2 linked regions of the Xenopus tropicalis genome follow. The protein of the gene in region 1 purifies or fractionates together with the protein of each later gene. This does not show direct contact. Links are inferred from orthologs where the notes say so. Each region holds a gene or a part of one and is shown in the gene's direction. Other genes may lie near its edges.

What was found. Proteins that work in one complex are often made in the same cells at the same time.
Region 2: the proteins of bnip1 (region 1) and rint1 purify together in Homo sapiens (co-immunoprecipitation; 3 studies listed by BioGRID and IntAct, counting the BioPlex papers as one, with this or other methods). This does not show direct contact. The link is inferred for Xenopus tropicalis from reciprocal best matches to the Homo sapiens genes BNIP1 and RINT1.

The regions. Positions count from the first base shown.
Region 1 is NC_030679.2:43,439,998-43,451,033, reverse strand, and holds the start of bnip1 (vesicle transport protein SEC20), read left to right. Parts: upstream 1-3,903; 5' UTR 3,904-3,933; coding exon 3,934-4,017; intron 4,018-4,096; exon of another isoform or gene 4,097-4,333; coding exon of another isoform or gene 4,334-4,363; intron 4,364-5,280; coding exon 5,281-5,373; intron 5,374-6,778; coding exon 6,779-6,870; intron 6,871-7,618; coding exon 7,619-7,720; intron 7,721-8,173; coding exon 8,174-8,292; intron 8,293-9,684; coding exon 9,685-9,878; 3' UTR 9,879-11,036. UniProt on the Homo sapiens protein: As part of a SNARE complex may be involved in endoplasmic reticulum membranes fusion and be required for the maintenance of endoplasmic reticulum organization. Also plays a role in apoptosis.
Region 2 is NC_030679.2:77,078,128-77,088,583, reverse strand, and holds the end of rint1 (RAD50-interacting protein 1), read left to right. Parts: intron 1-1,347; coding exon 1,348-1,458; intron 1,459-2,452; coding exon 2,453-2,678; intron 2,679-5,337; coding exon 5,338-5,475; intron 5,476-5,824; coding exon 5,825-6,024; intron 6,025-6,296; coding exon 6,297-6,511; intron 6,512-7,044; coding exon 7,045-7,225; intron 7,226-7,300; coding exon 7,301-7,419; intron 7,420-8,499; coding exon 8,500-8,722; 3' UTR 8,723-9,117; downstream 9,118-10,456. Other genes in the region: efcab10 (EF-hand calcium-binding domain-containing protein 10), read right to left, coding at 9,203-9,245. UniProt on the Homo sapiens protein: Involved in regulation of membrane traffic between the Golgi and the endoplasmic reticulum (ER); the function is proposed to depend on its association in the NRZ complex which is believed to play a role in SNARE assembly at the ER.

The DNA.
Region 1 (11,036 bases):
TGGGACATTAGAATGTCATTTGGGGCTTCCTCTATGTTTTATTTCTTTGGAATCTCCACAGATCTGAAACTGATTGATTGTTGGACACATCCCCAAGCTGTGTAGCCCCATTCCACCTGTTCTGCTCCCTCCTGTGATGACTCCTGAAAGGAGGCAGGACTCTGCTACTAGGACTTGCTACTGCAGCTTAAAGGGGGTGAGGGGCAAAACCAAAGCATGTGAAAGAGCTGAATCTGTGCAAAGTTTGCTTTTGGTTTAGTAATCTTTTGCAACTAATCAACAGGTAGCCTTCACAAACATCTTAGTGGTTGCTATTGATTACTAGAGCTGGACAAATCTAGCACCTCTTCATCAAAAAACCCCAAAACTAGGGTAGGACTTTGGCCCATTCTCCTTTTTTTCCTCCAATGTAAGGCTAGCAGATCTTATGAAAAAGGGGTGCTTCTATAATGTCTGACTAGACTTAATGTATTTAATGTTAATAAAATCGGTGAAGCCCAGCAACAGCACTGCTGCTTCTAGAAAGTCTGACTAGACTTCATGCATTTAATATTAATGAAATTAGTGCATCCCAGCAACAGCACTGCTGCTAAGCCCTTATAAGAATAGAATACAACGGTCTTTGACTACTCACAGCAATCAAACACACTCTGAGGAAATGCTATACTCGTTTTCCTTGATAAAAGTGTCAGGTTGTTAAGCACTGACAGGAATTTAAGAGCAGTGACTCCCCATGGATGACCTAATTTGATATTTAATAAATCAGCACCGATACCTTTATACATGTGGGACTATTCACAAAGTCTTCTTTCCAGTCTGACTGTTAGGCTCTTCTGGGGTTTGATCTCTGGACCTCCTGATTGTTGGCTAATCTCCCTAACTTAGTCTTTGCCTGCTCCGTCCCATCCTATACGACTGTCAGTACTTTAACAGCAATATATATGAATAAACCTTGTCTGCGCTTAAGGATAAGTAGAAGGAGAACCGTATAAGTGAAAGTGAAGAGGGAAAAAAAAAAAATATTTAAACGTGGTAAAGAGTGATCTCTATATTATCAATTAAATCAATGTGAACTAGGTGTGTTGATTAGCTGCCCTCCTCCAAACTAATCCCAAAGTGCACAAATATTACTCTAAAAGAGTTGGCGCTCAAACAAACCACCAAGTGAAATAAAATCAACCAATCGATATTTATTGCACAGTGAATCAATAAATTAAAAATTACAATTTATCAATATATACACAGAACAATCAATATACATAAAATAGGAAACAATTCTAATACATAGAATAATAAAGCACCAATCATAGGTTCAATTAAAAACAATAGATGAAATAGTAAAATTGCTAGAATGAATCCAATCAAAATTCTTAATTCATTAGAGGATGAAATCAGCACAAAATTCTTAATTCATTAGAGGATAAATCATATAAATTGGAGAAACCTGGGGAGGAAAACCTATATTAAAAAGCATGTAGGGAACAATCAATTAGATATACAGCAAAGTTAAGTAGGAATAAATGTTACATGATATCCAAACATCCAAATAAATAATGATAACACCGGAGGGGTCTAACCCCTAACGGGCCCCTCACTTAGTGGAGAGGGCAGCACTACTTATAGTACTCCCTTCAGACCGATACACACACCCCACTTAGCAAAGAGTATAAGCATACGTATCAGTATAAAGTATCCCAGGAAAGTGCAAGTGCTACACAAGACACTTCTACAGATTAGGTATATAGCCTTGTGGAGAGTTAGTCCCACACGAACTTAATGCACAGAAATAAAGAAGCCCCTTGTCCCGGCCGGGAACTTACTCGGGTATAGACAAAGGGAGGAACAGGCTCCTTGAAGCGGCTGGACGCCGTTCTCCTTCCTCCGGTGACGTCACCGGTACGAGCCGAATCCCAAAGTACGGGTCCTCCCTAGTGTCAAAAAGGTCCGACGCGTTGGACACGCCCCTGCCTTAAAGACTCTACCTCTACGTATTCCTTTACAGAATTATTTGCTAACACTGACCCTGGATGGGTAGCTTTCTTTCACCTGCTGCAGCACCACCTTCGCAGTGCTCCTAGGTAAGTGATGCCCTGGATTGGCACAGGTACAATAAACAGTCCAACAGAGACAAAACAGCACAGGCATTTGCCCCCTCCCACACTTAATAGACTCTGGAATGTGATGCCAAGCCAAGGGCAGCAAGTCACTAAAAAGTCATAATCATAAAATGCACTATGTTTGCCCAGGATCAGTAACTCATAGCAACCAATCAGCAGGTAGATGCACTGGTCAGCTGTTTAAAAGCAAACATCTTATTGGTTGCTATAGGTTACTGCTACAGGAAAAAAGTTGTGCCTTTTAATACATATGTGGGTATGAACACTGTTATAGGAATAGTTCAGTGTAAAAATTAAACTGGGAAAAATAGACTGTGCAAAATATAAAATATTTCCAATATAATTAGGCAAAAATGTAATCTATAAAGGCTGGAGTAAGCATATGTCTAACATAATAGCCAGAACCTGACTTCCTGCTTTCAGCTGTCTAACCTCTTAGTTAGTCAGTGACTTTAGGGGGGCCCACATAGGACATAACTGTTCAGTTAGTTTGTGAGCAGGCAGGTCAGATTCAAATGCAAATTAACTGAACAGTTATGTCCTATATGGCCCACTCAGGTCACTGATTGGTTATTGATTGCTAACAGCTTAGAGCTGTTCTGGCTATTATGTTAGACATCTGCCCACTCCATTTTCATTTTTACACTGAACTGTTCCTTTAAGATAGTCACAAGGAAAATTATAGACTAACCAGGCAATTATTTTAAACAAAGGAGCACCGGGGGAAGAGGAAAAGGTAAAGTACTGCATGGCAGGGCAGAAGCGATAAGAGGTGGGTTGGGAACCATACAAAATAACCCCAACATTATTTAATTTACTTGTGCCAAGAATAACTTTCTTCAGTTTTAGAATAATACAGCAGTGAATCATCAAGCAGCATTTACTTTTCTGGTCTTTAAAATTAATTATCTGATTGGTTACTAGGGGTATTTTTGTAATGAAAAAATGCAGAAAGTTGGCCAGTCATGTTTGTGCCCAGATGTGCAGCTTTCAGCCCCAGAAACATCCCTCTCAAAAGGGAGTAAAATAGATGATAGGTTCGGGACAGGTAATATTCTGAGCCCCAGATGTTGCAGAAAAACAACCACCAAAATTCTGTCCTCCCTTATCTGAACCACTGGTGGGAGCTGAGGGTTGTAACTATAGATCACTGAAGTACCATGGGCTCATGCAAAGCCTCCTATAGTTCTCCTTTCCACAGCCACATACTGCTGCCCTTACTGTACTGTACCCTTTCCACTCATACCCCGAAATATCTATTATTTTTATTATTAACAAGCATTTATAAAGCTCCAACATATTCTGTGTTTATGTACAGCAAAAAAGGGTCTCTAATGTCATTCAGCAGGAAACCCCATAGTCCAGTCTAAGCCTGTTTACATTTGAAGTTGACTGTTCACTTGCTTTAAGGGTGAAGACACACAGAGCTACTTAGTAGCAGCTAATTGTCACAGCTACTAAACGCCAGAAAATACCCTGACATAGACAATACTGAGAATTACCTCTGCCACATAGAGACAATTAACAGTAAATGATCAGCATTGTCTATTTCTGTAGCCGTGACAAGTAGCTGCTACTAGTAGCTCAGTGTGTCTTCACCCTAACACCCCTTTGAACTGAGCAGAACGTTTCTTATTGTGTGCGTTTTCCCAAAAGCACCTCTAGATGTCTCTGTGCCCCCTCATCGCTGTCCATACGAGCAAAGAAATTACCTCTCCATACAGCAGATGGCGCAAAGGTTTATTTTTGTCTTAGTCAGAGTCATCGGTGCATGGTATTTTGTCCCATTCCGCGCACCGTTGTTAAGCCTGTCGCGATGGCAGATTCGCAGGATGTCCACGTCCGAATTTGTCACCAGGAAATCGTTAAATATGACCTGGAGATCAAAGCGCTGATCCAGGTAACGCAGTGGGGTGCTGAAGGGGTGATCGCCATTAATAATACTGACTTTCTACATGCAGGAGGCAGTAGGGAATTCAGCTTACCATTAAGGGTCCGAGTTTGTAATATTCCCTATGCAACGCCACCTAGCGGCAGGCCGAGCTTACGTACCAGTTCCGAAGACTCCAAACTCAATGGTTTATGTTTGAATGCGGACTGGTGTAGCGTTACCGGCATGTACTGATAGTTCCCTACGGTCACAGCCTACTGTATGGTTTGGTTAACAGAGCCTGGCAGTTTTATTTTCCTAAATTATTACATGGGCTTCCTGCTACATGTTCCATGTACTGCACCCTAACAGTTATGTAGGTATAATACATTTAACTGGCTGATAACTGAAATAGCTATAATGCTTTCCCAGCTAATGAGCAGTGCTGCTATCAGTACTCATAGGCTCTATACTACTGAGTTAGCAGGGGGCCTCAAGTTTAACCCTCAAGTTTAACCCTTCTGTCATCTGGGCCATTATGAACCAGAATTAACACTGACATTAGTTGTTACCAGTGGCATAAAATAAGGTCAGGCTTCCAAGCAAAAGACTTTTCCGGGCCCTCACATGTTGGGGTGAGAGCCACTTACACCCTCGGCCACATAGTGACCACCACCTTCGCCTCCATGCTTGCAGAGCCAGAAGTAGCTGTAACCATACAGCAGGCCATCTGGATATCTGTATGCTAGTTAGCCAGTGAATGTTAGTATATCTTAACCAAAATGTCAAAATATCAGCACCCAGTAATCAAGTCTTTGTCACCAGTAATATCTTTGTATAGAATAACTTCCTAAAGCTGATACCTCAAGAGAACTGAATCCAAGTGATTTTGGTCACACTTATGGCACACCAAGCCTGGGATTCAAAATAGGCCCTGGCACTTCAAGTACACAATGTCCCAAACAGTGTCTGTCTATGGCTTCTTACAGCAGCCCCTCTGGCATTTGCCAGAATCCACAGATTGCCAATCTGGGCTTTTTGCACACCCAACCACAATTTATTATGCCTTGACTACACCCACTTACAACCCAACTTTATCCTTGGCTGGAGGCTGGTGGTTACTACCAGCATATTAACTGTCATTTTTTAATGACGTTTGCTAGGCATCTCATGTGCCACTATGTCATTTCAGTTTGGGAACAGCACAGCAGATGGTACTTTCTCATTGGATCCTTATCCCCCTAGCTCTTCTGTATTGTATGTAGACGTTTTAAAATGATTTGTCTTTTATAGGACATCAGAGAATGCCCTGGTCCTCTAAGCACCCTAAATGATTTCAATGCTCAAGTCAAGGAAAAATTCCACCTGCTGAGGCTGAGAATACAGGTACATTGTGTAATTTAGTAAAGACATTGCATTTTTGAGGGAAAAACTGGCTAGGTAATTAGAAATTCTTAACCACAAGAGAGGTTGATAATAAGTAATTGGGGCCTCTGCCCTATGATTAAACTATATTTTAAAACATTAAAAGTCCATTTACTGCCTATAACAGGGATCCCCAACCTTTTTTACCCGTGAGACACACTCAAATGTAAAAAGAATTGGCAACACAAGCATGAAAAATGTTCCTGGGGTGCCAAATAATGGCTATAATAGGCTATTTGGTAGCCCCTATGTGGACTGGCAGCCTACAGAGGCTTTGTTTGGCATTATATTGGGTTTTTATGCAACCCAAACTTGCTACCAAGCCAGGAATTTAAAAATAAGCCCTTGCTTTGAGGCCACTGGGAGCAACATCCAATTGTTTGGGGAGCAACATGTTGCTCATGAACCACTGTTTGGGAATCACTGGCCCATAATATTGGGAGCCCTCAAAGCAAAGCATATTATTCGCTCAGAGTTTTTTTCTAAGCACTTTTGCAAAGTACATTTTTTCTACTTTCTCAGTTATTAGAAGTTATTTGAAGTGCTGATTATTTTAGGCCAATGGGCTAAAAGTGGCTAAAAATGAATTTCCTGAGAAAAGAAACATTTTAAGGTGTTGCTCTCCCTAGAACTGATCACAGAAACACCAGAGACTCCACTTTCTAAGCAGAGCATCATTACAAAATGTTTCTTATCTCAGGCAATTCATTTTTAGCCAACAGTAGCCAGTCACAGTAGCCAGCCAGCTGAAATATCCAGCAGGTGGCGCTGTTGTTTCAAATATGTTATATTAGCCCAGTGATCCCCAACCAGTGGCTCGGGGGCAACATGTTGCTCCCCAACCCCTTGGATGTTGCTCTCAGTGCCCCCAAACCAGGTAGTTATTTTTGAATTCCTGACTTGGGGGCAAGTTTTGGTTGAATAAAAACAAGATTTCCTACCAAATAAAGCCCCTGTAAGCTGATAGACTGCATAGAGGCTCCCTAATAGCCAATCACAGCCCTTATTTGGCACCTCCGTTAACTTTTATGGTGCTTGTGTTGCTCTCCAAGTCTTTTTACATTCGACTGTGGCTCATGAGTAAGATAGGTTGGGGATCCCTGTATTAGCCATTTCAAAACAGCTAATCTCTTTAAAACTAAAATAAAAATAATTAAAAGTAGTTCTAAGAGTACTTTGCACAATTTTATAGTCATTTGTCTTGATGGATTACAGTACTTGTTTACTTGCTTGGATTTACAAAAAAAAAAAAACATTTTTGCATGAATCATTGCTCATCACCAAAAGTGATCACCTTTAAAGTCATCCAGGTAATAGTTTTCTAAACCTATAATTGGTGATATACTTCTTTGTTATTTTGGAAAAGGATTTTGAACAGTTGGCTAAGGAGCAGGATAAGGAATCTGACAAGCAAGCATTGCTGAAGGAGATGGAGTGCCACAAGAAACAGATGTTAAGGTGTGTATGGTCTGCTGCTTACATCTTGAGCTGTGCGAAAAATGGCCCCATAGCTTAATAAATAAATGTTATATAAAACAGGTGAAGAACTTTTCTTGCTTGCCTCTCAATATGTTTACAACACAAGGTTAATCAATATTGCTCTGTAGTTGTCCTACAAAGCTGTCCTGCAGTTGCTCATACATGTTTTGGCTGAGACATACTCTCTCTCTGCTTTCCCATTAGCCCACATGTTGCTGGGTGAATTCTAAGCTCCCCAAGGGAATTGTTGGTCAGTGACCAGTACTACACACAGTTCTACTTTAGTGAAAGGTGGCTTTGTGGTATTTTGCTGTGCTAATTAAGGCTGGGAATCTTTGTCAGAGACCCAACATCATGGGGAACAACCCCATGCCTACCTTCAGCACCTTGACCATGTTGTGCTGACTCTGAACTTTGCACCCCTTTCTCGGTAACTAGTATGAATGACTAGTGGCCCTATTTTAATGCTTCTTACAAATAGGGAGGTGGTGCTGGAATTTGTTACAGGTGAAAATAATTCAACCTATCTTTTAAAAATAATCTTTTAGATCATTATAATAATACAACCAGTGTATAATTTCAATCATCTACCATATCTGCCTTATATGAGGTTGCTCTTGTAAACTCTGCCAAATCTTATGCCTTTCATATTTGATTGTGTGTGCATTTTAATTTTTCTTAAGCAAAATTAACAACTGCTTTTCATCCATTGTGATGTTGATTTCAGCAACCAGACTGTGTGGCGAAAGGCAAACCTTTCATGCAAGCAAGCAATAGATAATGCAGAGAAGGATGAACTGCTCGATGGAGGAGACCCTACAAGGCAGAGGTACAGTGTTTTTGTTAAGAGGGTCATTCTGCAAGTCTATAGAAACTGCTTCTAGGGTGTTGATTTTGAAGACAGTTTAGACTGCTACAGACCACATAGCCATTTCACCCTTTCTTTCATTAACCCTTGTTAATCCCTTCCCTGGTCACTGTTGCTTGTATGGGATTTTCCAGAAAACCTCAAAAGCTCTGGAATAGAGAAATGCCAATTACTATAGTGTTTATGAAGTTTCTGAAAGTCTTAAACGCAAAAACAAAACAACAAGAATTTATTTTTAGAAAATACTTTAACTCAGTATCTATCAATTTCAAACTGAATCTTATTATGAATTCTCAAAATCAGGAAATTTCGACGCATTTGTTTACCGGTCACTCTTTGCGCATTCAGTTAGTATAACTTGTACTGCATCTAAATGTGATACAAGTTGTAGCCAACTCAATCTGTTCCCAACAGAAAAGTAGCAAAGGAAAACCTGGCACAGTCAACGAGCAACATCACCGAGAGCCTGATGGGTATCAGTCGAATGATGGCACAGCAAGTGGGGCAGAGTGAAGTAACCATGCAGACACTAGGTATGGAGGATCTGTATGCACGTTTCAGTGCCCATAAATGCACTTTTACCCCAGACTTGAAAATTGTCTTATTAGTAAGGATGGAGTGCTGCTCCTAAAGTTCCTCACCCTTTCCTCAATTGTGGCTAACACCAAACTCTGACAAACACACACAGTTCATTGTGCTCCCAATACACAAATGAAGGAATGCAGTTCAAGATATTGAGAGAGGTACTGATGGTATATTGTTATAATTCTTTCATTTTTTTCTATTGGTGGTCCAGTGTTTATTTCAGTTGTTGCAACTCTCACCCCTTATCCAGTTTCTTGTATTGGAGAACCAATCAGGGAAAGACAATCTGACACTGGTGGGACTAAGATCTGTGTGACATAATGGCTGAAACAGAAAACACTGCATCAATGGAAAAAAAATGTTGTTTTCACTCTGATTTAATTGAATAATTATAGTCATTTATAAGCATAATTGACATAGAAGTGATTCAGCTAGAAAAGGAGATTTATTGAGGTTAAAACTGAGTAATAAGGTAAATTGCAAAACTAAAAGCATTCCCTTTGTATGGGCAAAGTTTCATTCCAGGAAACGTGACCCACAAACAGTTACATCCAATCACCATGCAATCCATCTGCAGCCATACCTCCTCTGTTAAACTATCACAACACACAGATCCCTGGCCCTAACCCCTAATACACTCTCACCTCCAAACTCTAAGCTCCAGATCTAATACCAGCAGCAGTCTGAAGGGAGGACAACCCCCACTATTGCATCAGTGAACATGGTAATTACATTTTTTTTATAAAGAAGATTGTTGTCCTTTTTAACATAATTAAATAGAACAGAGTTAGAGTAAGTCATAATAGTTAGAAATTAATAAATAATGTAAGTAAAAATGCAAGTTTAATTATGTTATCATTTCTTTACATAAATAGTACTGTAAATGAAGAGGTCTGTATGGAGAAGCTGACAGGATGAGAGAGAAGGAAATATTAGCTTCTTTGCAAATACATAAGATAGTTACAGAGCACTTAATTATACTGGCTCATGGAAGTTTGTACAATTCTTATTTCTAAGGAAGAACTGCAGCAATTGTAATACCTGAAACCAGTCCAATACTTCCCATTATACTTAATGGGATTTCATCTGCAAATGTTATATAGAGAAAGCAGCATTATCTATTGATAATGACTAGTGTTCCACAGGCAGCAGGATTCCTAGTCTGGAGAATGACAAAATTAAGGTTCTACCTGAGGGGATTGTAGTGAGCAAAACACCTTGCGTGCCATTACCCTAAAGCACAAAGATGGGGTTATAAATTCCTGGGAGACAGTAGGAACAGGTATAGAAACAGACAGGTTTTGCAAGATTGTCACATGCTCTGTATATTTTCCCAATAGCCACGTCATCACGGACCATCCAGGAAGCCAATGAAGAGTTCAAATCCATGTCAGGGACTATACAACTTGGGCGTAAACTTATCACTAAGTACAACCGGCGTGAGCTCACTGACAAGCTGCTCATTTTTCTGGCCTTGGCCTTATTCTTAGCAACTGTACTGTACATCTTGAAAAAAAGGCTGCTTCCATTCTAGTCACTGTGTGGGTTTCTTACTTCAGAGGATTTGGATGCCCATCTGGCGAGGACCACTGGCCTTAAAGATTGCCATCAGCTAACTGAACTATACAGAATACTCTGGAACTAGTAACTAAGACTGTGTCAGCTCTAATCTGTTTAAAATGGTGCACAAAGTTAAATTATTTGTAGGTTTATTATTGGTTAAACTGTTAGGGAATTCTGGGAGCTGTAGATTGACAACAGCAGAAGAAACAAAGGCTGAACATCCCTGCTTTAGACTGTGGTACTGGACCTGACGTTTGTGTTCCATTCATGTAAGTTGCCATACAATGGATTTTATGATAGTCTTATGTACTGATGTAAGTCATCACTGAAACAAATGATCATTTACTGTAGACTGGTGCTTTTTGGTTACAGTCTTAGGCTAAAACTGACCATGCACAAGCAAAATTACCCAAATGCAGACGTTTGCACAGTTTGATGGGCTTTGTTGTTGTTTTGATCTTTTGGCTACTAATGGGCGACCTGTTGATGAGGACTACATTAGAGGTGTGCAGGCCAGCCCAAAGTCCACATGACCCATGGGTTCATGGGTGGGTTCGGGCCAGCAATGTAGTGGGTAGAACTATATGCAGGACTGCCTCCCCCAGCCAGTCCTGTTCTGGCATGATTCCTTTGGCACTAGCATTTATAGACTCGCACCTCACTGCCTCATCCTTTGACATCAGAGATGGAGAGTTCCGAATCAGATATATAAACAGTAGCAGTGTAGCAGGCATGTACAGCCTTTTGTGGTTCTTGCCTGACAGAATTATTCAGCATTCCCAAACAATAGCTTGTTAAGCCCAATAAGATTTTGAGGCAATTGTTTCAGTCCAATAACCAGGACTCAGCCACCATCTAGGTCAAGGGTGGTCAAGTCAGCTTCTTTCCTGCCATCACTGATGTAAAAACATCATCAGTGAGAGGGACATTTGCCCAAAGACAGGACAGCAGAGGACTCTGGGGTCAGTGGTAGTTCTAGCTGTAAATCTTGTGTAAGAAAATAATTTGAATGAACCCTATAATTGGTTATACATAATAAATATAAATATGGAGGACAGAAGGTAGCTGGGCACAATATCATGCTGAGATTTACTCTCTATTCTGGAGAACAGAGACTTTCAGCTATTCA
Region 2 (10,456 bases), about 34 Mb from region 1:
TGGTATTATGTTTTTAGGCTTAGGGAAACCTCTCTTTTCCTGTACACTTCAATGGACTTTACCATATCTGTTAAATTATAAAAAATAAATACGCTGGTTTATAAATATGCTCTGAGATGTCTTGAATGTACTTTTGTTATAGGGCTATCCTTTAATCATGCAGGTGCTGCAGTCCCATGACAGCAAAAGGACTGCTCCTCTGGTACCCTGGTTATATATCATGCTCTTCCTAGTACAGCTTTTATTTTTAGGCAGCCAAAAGGGGATAAGAGTTGAACACATGAGGAATACAGAAGTGCTTAATTTGCCAAATTTGGCCTTAAAGGACCAGTAACATCGAAAAGAAAATGTTTTAAAGGACATGGCTAAGAGGTCTAGCACTGGCTGGTGTAATGCTCTTCCACCAAAGGGCTCCTTTACCCACTGCTACTTTCAGATGGTGACAGACTTATAGGTTCATGTAATAAAAATCACATTTGGTGATCCACAGCAACCATTTGCTTTTTAGTAGATGACCAGTAAATGCAACCTTATTATTGGTTGCTTGGGGTTACTGTACCTGGTGCAAATGTTTCAATTTGTATTACATTAGCTCTAGTCCTTCTTTTGGAAGCATAATGAATCTGGCTGTACTGCCTACTAAATCACTGATTCCTTTTTCTGTAATCGGAATTGAACGTGCGCAAATGGGAAATCAATTTATATATGATGTTGTTTCTTGCTTATAGGTCTCTGGTGTGCATAGTTTTAAAGGGGATAACTAGCTATTAACTTGTTGCCAGGCCCAACAGCCACAGCTGCCTTTGACTGAGCTTAATTTGGTATTCTTTAAATTTAACTGCTGCCAGCAGTCTTTAGTCTGTCCTTAGCAAAGAACCTTTCCAGTTTGGATCCATTTGGGGTGATGTAAGATATATTTTATTTGCTGATAATTCAGTTTTGATGTTGACTGAAGGACTTCTGTCTGGTGTCTTTTGTTTGTGAATACACAATATATTTATAGACATGATGTAGGTTTGGACAGATAAGATGCACTAAAATGATGCTTCTGTAAATATTATCTCTTGATCTTGCTTGGCCCCCCTGTAATAAAAGCTGCTCCACGCAGTTTTGGGAAATTACTTACTTTTGTATTTACAAAGTGGTTACCATTAGGGGTCTTGCAGTTCAGTGACAGCAGGTGTGATGCAAGTGGGACATCTCTACTTCTCATTCCTCAGTGTAGAATTGAAGAACATTCAGTGTCAACCTTGCCTATGCATGTGACCTTTCACAGCTGCCTGTGTTATTGCTTTATAAAAATAACATTATTATAACGTAGCATGTTGTGTTTTTTTTGTATTTTAGCCTGAGTGGTACCTGACTCAAGTGCTCATGTGGATTGGAAACCATACTAAGTTTTTACAGGAAAGAATTCAGCCCATTCTGACAAAATCTGGGTCTTCTGTGAACGCACATGTAAGAGGTTACAGAGATATAGCCACTGTACATTGATCTATTTAGGCATTAAGGGAATTAAATTAATCACATACACCACAAAGTTGAACATAGGGACTAATGAATACATATCACTAAGCTTCAGTACAAAACTATATTAAATCAAACAGGGTAGTAACACGTCCATATTTAATACATCTTACAAGTACAGGTGTAGGACCCATTATCCAGAATGCTCGGGACCAAGGGTATTCCGGATAAGGGGTCTTTCCGTAATTTGGATCTTAATACCTTAAGTCCACTAAAAAATCAATAAAACATTAATTAAACCTAATAGGATTGTTTTGCATCCAATAAGGATTATTTATATCTTAGTTGGGATCAATTACAAGGTACTGTTTTATTTCTACATAGAAAAAGGAAATCAGTTTTAAAATTCTGAATTATTTGATTAAAATGGAGTCTATGGGAGACAGCCTTTCCGTAATTCGGAGCTTTCTGGATAACGGGTTTCCGGATAAGGGGTCCGATACCTGTACTTATAAGTCAATGAAGTACAATTTTTTTAATTTAATTCTGCTTTATACTGATTATACATAGCATATTGCATGTAGTTCATAACTTGGTTGGGTGGCTTTGGGTTACAGAATATTGAGTAGACCCATGTAGAGGAAAGTTAGCATTCAAATGGAAAGAGGGAATCTTGCAAAAATATGAGCATTTTATAATCTTTAAATGACATACCAGTGTAGTAGTATTGCACTAATTAATTGATAATAATAAGCCTTTGTGAATATTTCGTCCCTGGATCCCATATGATTTGATGGATGACTTCTCTTGTGATTACTAATATTTCACAATACACACAGATACAAAGCAGATAGTTGAAGTAAAGATCTATATACTACTTAAACACTGCATATGAGTAGTTCAGTTTAAAAGGAGAGAGATTACATTGTTCCTGTAATCCATATAGTCAATTTAACAGCAGTTTGTGTATCTGATTATTCCCCAGCTGGAGTTCACGCGTGGTTTAGTCATGCTGGTGCTGGAGAAGCTTGCAGTGGACATCCCGTTACTGCTATATGATGACATTCTGTTTTGTCACCTTGTGGATGAAGTACTTTTGTTTCAGAGAGAACTTTACACATCACATGGTTATCCCAGCAATCTCCCAAACTGCATGCACATTCTATCTGAAGAAACCTGTTTTCAAAGATGGCTGACAGTGGAGAGAAAATGTAAGAATGCTTTGCATTAGTTGTGACTATTTCTAATTGATTTTTTTGCGCCTGAACCTGTCATTTTGCGTTCTTAAAGGAGAATGAAAGGCTAATAAAGAGTTAATCTCAAGCTGCAGGCATACCTTCAGTTGTCTCAATAGTGCCCTTATGTCTCCCCATATTTCTCCTGTTCAGATGATCAGAAGCCTCATAGGAAAAAAAAAATGCTGAGCTCTGTAAAGAAAGTACCCATAATGCCTTGGTCCTGAACTAATACCAAGATCGGTGTACATACGCAGTTTGTAAGACTATGAGGAAGCTGATTGGCTCAGATCCACATTCCTAAGGAGGGGGCGAGTGAGTTCTTAGTATTCTTGAGGGAGGGGGGAGCAGGAGAGAGGAGAGCTGCGTGTCTCTGGCACAGGAAAACAAAGACAACAAAACCTGTTTCTTTTGAGAAAGGACTGCAGTGTTTCTGTGAGTGCTTATGGCTGTATTTACATAGACCTTTCTGATAAAACTTACTTAGTTTTTACCTTTCCTTCTCCTTTAACGCTAAGACTTTTAATTAACTGTTAATAGTGACCATCTTATAAGCACAATTAAATTCTGATTAATATATCCATTAGTTAAATGTGAACTTTTATTCTTTCTGTGTACCCCTCCTCCCTATCCCATATTGAAAAATGTATGATACAAAAAAAACCCCCTGCAAATGTTAATGCGCATATATTTTATTTCATTAATGTTAAATGTTGGCACAAGGGTGTCCAAACTTTTGTATGTGCCTTACATACTATTCTCTTTGTTCCTATGCTTTATTAACACCCCCTTTGGCTCAGATAACAGCTGGTTAATGGCTTTTGCATCTATCTTTAAATATTTCACATTTAGTTGTATGGATTTTTACCACTTTCCATTCAGATAATTTGTCATTTTTAACTGTTTAAGATCTAACCACAGATTTTTAATGATGTTTGAGTCAGGGTACTGTGAGAGCAATCCCAAATCCTTCAGCTTGCTTTTCTCATTATTGTGGCTTGTCAGGTATGTTTAGGATCATTGTCTTGGTGTAGGATCCAGCCCCATTTTAGCTTCAGCCAAAGAGTTGAATTTGGACTTCATCAGTCCCTGCACTTTTTGCCAAAAGCACTCTGGTTTGTCTAGATGCTGTTTTACATGCCTCAGACATTGATGTCTGTGATTAGGTTGCTTGTAAGGCTTCCTCCTGTTGACTGTGTAACATGACTGCTGTGTCAGCCAATTCTTCCTGCTAGTCTTTTGTACCCATATGAGGGTTTGTTTTTCTGAAAGTTTTCACATATTGCATTGACTTCCAATGCTTTGCAAGCTGGAGCATTTTTATATATCCCTCTCCTGCTTTGTAGGCATCAATTGGCTTTATTTTCAGATCGTCGCGTAGTTGCTAAAGGAGCCTGTAATTGCCGAGTGACAGCCCAAAGTTTGGGGTCTCAGAGATTTTATTAAGTCCACAGGTAACAACTCCTATGGTTATTAAGGCCTAATGAACCAATTAGGGTGAAAGATGTTGCAAAAACAGCATTTATCACTGAACAATTAAAAAGATGTCCAAACTGTTGCACATGCCACAATTACCGTATCTACTCGAGTATAAGCCGATCCGAATATAAGCCGAGGTACCTAATTTTACCTAAGAAAACTGTAAAAACGTATTGACTCGAGTATAAGCCTAGGGTGGGAAATGCAGCAGCTACTGTGGCTATGAGTTCCTGGATTGTTATACATGGAATTGCCCTGGCATTCGGCACGCACGTGCAAATTAACTCTGCCATTATCTGCATATCAGCAAATAATAATATTAATGACATTGGCTACTGATTCCCTGTGATGGAGCTGTTTGCCTCAAGGCAAGGTAATTTGATTGTGTACAATTTGTACCAGTTATGATGGCTAAGGCTAGGAGGTGTTTTCTCCACTGGTGTGTGATCTGCTGCCCTCTGCCCTGAGTTTTAGTATGCCCTGAATTTCACCCCCTGTGTGCATTGACAGTCAGCTACCATGCTTGTTAGTGTGTACTTGGATATACAAAAAAAAGTTCCCAGACAAGAAAATATGGCTCTACTTAGACCAATGCAGCCTCAGACAAACAGAGCCATGGCTTGATATTGCAGAACAAAAAATTAGTTAAGTTATATTTCTTTCAACTAGATTTGTGATCACAAACGCATAAAATAAAGACCATGATGCTCACCTTACAAATACAATGTAAGTACGCTTATGGCAGGTTTCCATTTCATTATATACAGTCAGCTTGATACATGCTCATTCTTAAATGCACTGTAATAGATCAATCTGGCGTTCAGTGGGTGAGCTGTGCAGCTGTGCCAGCAAATCACTAATGAATACGGGAAAGAGGCACCTCTTGTGAAACTATTCGGCGTGCGAGCCGAATGCCAGCACAGCCTATATACTCGAGTATAAGCCAAGCATGAGTTTTTAAGCACATTTTTCGGCTTATACTCGAGTATATACGGTATTTTCTTTTGGTGAAATTAAATGTAACTCCTGCAGTTGTTTCCTACTTTTGACTTGTAAAATGAATTAAATGTTATTTAGCAAGGGCGACAAAACGTTTGCATTGAGTATCATCTTTTCAAAAGTTTAAAATGTGTTTGTTGCATCAATGTTTTTCTAGTGGCTCTAGAAAAGATGGATTCCATGCTGTCTGCTGAGGCTGCCTGGACCTCACAATATAAAGATATATCTGATGTGGATGAAATGAAGGTTCCAGATTCTGCTGAAACATTTATGACTCTCCTACTTGTTATCACAGGTAACTCAAAGGCTGTCCCAAACAGTGCTACCTCAGTCTACTTCTTTTCATGCTAGGAGAGCCCACTATAACAGATATTAATTTATCACCCAGTGACCAAATGCTACTTTGTTCATTTAACTATAAGGCTTATAGCACATGAGCCAAAAAAACTCAAATAAGCTCTCTTGCAACCTGTTCATGTGAATGGAATCTAATTCTAATAACATAGATGTGGCATATGAAATAAATGAGATCCTTGAGCATTGCTACTATGTATTCAGACTTTTAACATGCAACTACCCATAGTTCCTCTGGTGGCCCCACTTATTATAATGTTGATGGTTGTATGAGCTTGTGTTTTTTTTAGACAGGTACAGAAATTTGCCCACAGCATCCAGAAAGCTAAAATTCCTGGAGCTGCAAAAGGACTTAGTTGATGACTTCAGGATACGTTTAACACAAGTGATGAAGGAAGAGAGCAGAGATCCCCTGGGCTTCAGATATTGTGCAATACTCAATGCTGTCAACTACATTGCAACAGTTCTTGGAGATTGGGCTGACAATGTTGTAAGTAAGACCCATACTATTAATTGCCGCCACTGGGGCATACTCAGTCTTTTATTCCTCCTATCCACACATCTTGGAGAGATGAGATGGAGGGGTAACAGTTATATGTAGTCTGCTTTAGGCATTAAAACACCAAGACAATGTAGCTAGACTTGTGTGACCATTGCTTGTCTGCATTATTGTTCCTTTGTCACTTATCAGAATGCAGTGCTAACTTCCATAGCTCAAAATTTAGTTGTGCCCTTGCCCTAACTTTCCTTCTGTGTTTCCAGTTTTTTTTACAGCTTCAACAGGCTGCTCTGGAGATTTGCACAGATCTCAATGCCAGCAGTAAGCTACAGCTTGGGCAGCTGGCTTCCATGGAAATATCTGTCTTCGATGACCTGATCAACCTTCTGGAGCGTCTAAAAAATGACATGCTATCTCGTCAGGTAGAACATGTATTTAAAGAGGTCAAGGAGGCTGCAAGAATGTACAAAAAAGAAAGGTAAACGTAAAACCTTCAGATTCTAATCTGCACTTTCTAATATTCTACCACTAATATGGCAGAGCAAAAATTTTAATTCTTACTGGCAAAACTAAAAAAAAATATGCATTTTTAAGACTCAGTTCATAAACCATAAGAAATCAAATCACCTGGAAAATTTCTGTTCCCCCCAATTCATTTTTTTTTTTGTTAAAAATTTTCAAATACCTTTGTCCTTTAGTAAATACAAGTGTTTGTGCATTGACCATTGCAGTGTTACAAGAAGTTATTACAAAGCAGTACCCAAAAAATTATTCAGGCACTGTGATACCCCTGCTTTGTAGGTATTACAATCTACAGTATGTCTGGTAACATAAGCATGTTAAGTGACCTGCAAAAGCCATGTCAACAAAAAATCAATTAGCTATAGATATTACCATATCTATCTGTATTCTTTTTTATCAATAGCATGTAAATACATTTTTAAATCTGATAAGGAAAATGATTGCTGCAGGTTGTTGCTAAACTGACCAAAATGTTATTGGTTGTTGCAGGTGGCTGTCACTGCCTTCACAATCAGAACAAGCTGTCATGTCCCTGTCTAGCACAGCCTGCCCAATGCTTCTGGCACTGAGAGACCGCCTCTTGCAAATGGAGCAGCAGCTATGTCATGCTTTGTTTAAAACTGTCTGGCAGATGCTTGCTGAGAAGTTGGATCTGTTCATTTATCAGGATGTTAGTACTCATTTCAGCTGAAACATATTTGTACTGTATAGGCACAACTCATTTATTGAGCTTTATTTTTCTTAGATAATCCTGGCAAATCATTTCAACGAAGGGGGAGCAGCACAGCTACAGTTTGATATGTCACGGAATCTCTTCCCTTTATTCTCTCACTATTGTAAAAGACCAGAGAATTATTTTAAACAGTAAGTGATTACGCTCTATAGAATGTCCTTTCCTGTTGCCTGGCCCAGTTACAGCATGCTGAGGGATTTTGCAGGGCTGGTACTGTGGTGCCATGGACACTAACTAAGAACATTAATGTGGTTGGTTCCTAATGCTATTTCATGCAACACTGATCCTTAAAGCTTTAACTTCAACCCAAACATATATGTTTGCAGTACAGGATTGGGGGGAAAAAAGGTATTCACAGTTCCTGAATTTTATTTACCAGGAAGTAATTACAATTGGATATTTTAATAATATAGGCAGGAAACATCTTTAATTTGAATACTTACTGGGACTGATGGAGAATACAATCATGTACCTCCATATCAAACCAATAGAAAAAAAGCAGAAAGCAAATATTGTGTATTTCATCACAATTTGCCTTTATTCTCACAACTACTATTGAGACTGAGAATGAAAGGTGCTATGATGCTATATTCACGAGGAAGTGCGCTGTCACAAAACAATTAAGACCTCAAGCTGTGTTTTTTAGATGTGCAAATAAAGGTTGATCAATTTTAATATTAACTGTTGCGGCTTTTTATGCTTACCTGAAGTGCACTGCCAATGTGTGAAACTTTGTGACATGATGCTACTGGTTCCCCAAACAAGTCCAATACTTAAAAGGGTAAATATAAACCTGTGTTCAAAGTAAACCAGGGCTTATATTGGGAAATTGTGGTTAAGTTAATATGAGCATTTCTATTTTGGCGCATATTAAACATGAGGATATATTCTTTACAAATGTTACTGCCAAATAACTGCAGATCTAGCCTCCATGCAGAATTAAAGCGAAGACTCATGCATAAATATATTATATATATATATATAATTTTTTTTTTTTAACCATTTTTGTTAAGCTTTTCCAGAAAAAAGCCATGTTCATCCGCATAAGTTAATTGCTGTCCCTACATAATCGTATTTTCAATATTGTGTCTAAAGGCCCATAATTTGTTTCTTAAAAAAGAGAAATCTTCATAGCCAGGTGTTTCTGAATTCTGCTTTTTTGGTAGTGTGGAGAGATCTTCACATTCATATATATTCTGCATCCCCAACAGTGTGAAAGAAGCCTGCATCATCCTGAATTTGAATGTGGGACCAGCCCTGCTGCTAAAGGACGTTCTTCAGACTGCCAGTGAGAGTATGAATGCATGCAGTTCTAACGACAAACTCCCGTCTTCAACAGCTGCCTTGAATGAACTTGGGATCTATAAGCTAGCGCCACAAGATGTTGAAATTCTTTTCAATTTGCGAACAAACTGGCCAAATGCTGGAAAGTAACACTTCCTGAAGTTTCCTTTACATTGGTCAAGGTACATTGTACAGCTGTATAGCAACTGCAATGTGATCATTAAAACTCTACATTTTTACCACTGCCCGTTAACTACTAGCAATTCTTTACAGAGCTTACAGAGTATCATTCACATCAGTTCCTATCCCAGTGAAGCTGGCAATATAAGGTCCTTATCACATTCACTCAATACACTAGGGTCAGTGTTATCAGGAACCAATTAACCTACCAATATATTTTTGAAAGTGGGGGGAAAAAAACATGCCAATCTGGAGAGGACATAAAAACTCCTTTCAGATGCAAGAATCAAATATAATATCATATTGTTAAAATCATCTTTTTTTTATTTTGCAAAATAATAATAATAAATTCTTTTAAGGTTTAATTGCTGAATGTTATCTTTAACAAAATACATAGACACAAATCGCAAAAATACAAGTAAACAAACTGAAAGCTATATAGTAAAGATGCTAAGATTTAAATGTTGCGCAAGCAGATTTCAATTGGATCCTCCTGCAGAGAAAGAAAATACAGTAATAAATTCATTATCCATAAGAGAACACTAATCATAATAATAAAAATTTGGCCTGGTGGGGGGGAAAAAAAATAAATACTTGCTTCCCCGATCTCTCCCATGCTCTAAAATAATTGTACAAATGGTGACAGGACTGTGCGCTTCAATAAATACAGCACACAGTCCTAGCATCTTCCACCAGTGGTGTATGATTTTAGGACAGCCTTAAGTGTGGATGATAGCAAATACCCACAGTAAACTCTCTTGACAAATATTCTAAAAATTCTGAAGTGTCTGAATTCTATAAAACTTTTCAGCACCCAAACACAGAACCTATTCACTTTTGTGGCTTTATGTGATATTATTGGGGACCATATTTTATCTGAAGGGTGGTTGTTCAAAATGACAATATATATATATATATATATATATATATATATATATATTTCCTCTGGAGAGAATCCTCCCCCAGTCTTTTTAAAACCAATCTAAAAGACTACCTTTTGGAGCACTCACCCAGCACCTGATCTGGGAAATAGCACTTATATTGTAATGTCACCCACTGTGACCTACAGCACTTATATTTGCCTATTTGTGTCTGTAAGTTACCCTCCCATATAGATTGTAAGCTCTACGGGGCAGGGACCTCCATCCTCTTGTGTCTTAACTTATTGCAACTGTATCTTGTATTATTTGTATTTATTGTTATACTTTGTATTTTTTTCTACTATCTTATTAACCCCCTGTTTGTATTAATGTATTCTACTGTACAGCACTGTGTACATAAGTAGCGCTTTATAAATAAAAATATACATACATATATATATATATATATATATATATATATATATATATATATATATAAATAGTCACATTTAAACAACCACCCTTCAGATAAAATATGGTATTTTTATTGTATCGCCCTGAATACATCAATACTTCCTGCCCCTGATATTATTTGCCAGTTAGTAAAACTTTATCATAATATTAATGTGAACTAAATGTGATACTAACACCAACAATCTGCTTCCCTTAAAGCAGAAAAAAAGATTAGCTGTATTGACTACTATTAGTTATGAAATCATGTATATATCATATGAAATCAGTGATACATTATGTGACTAACACAGGTCCAATACACTGACAAAATATATGATTTCATAATTAATAGTAGTCAATACAGCTAATCATTTTTTTTCTGCTTTAAGGG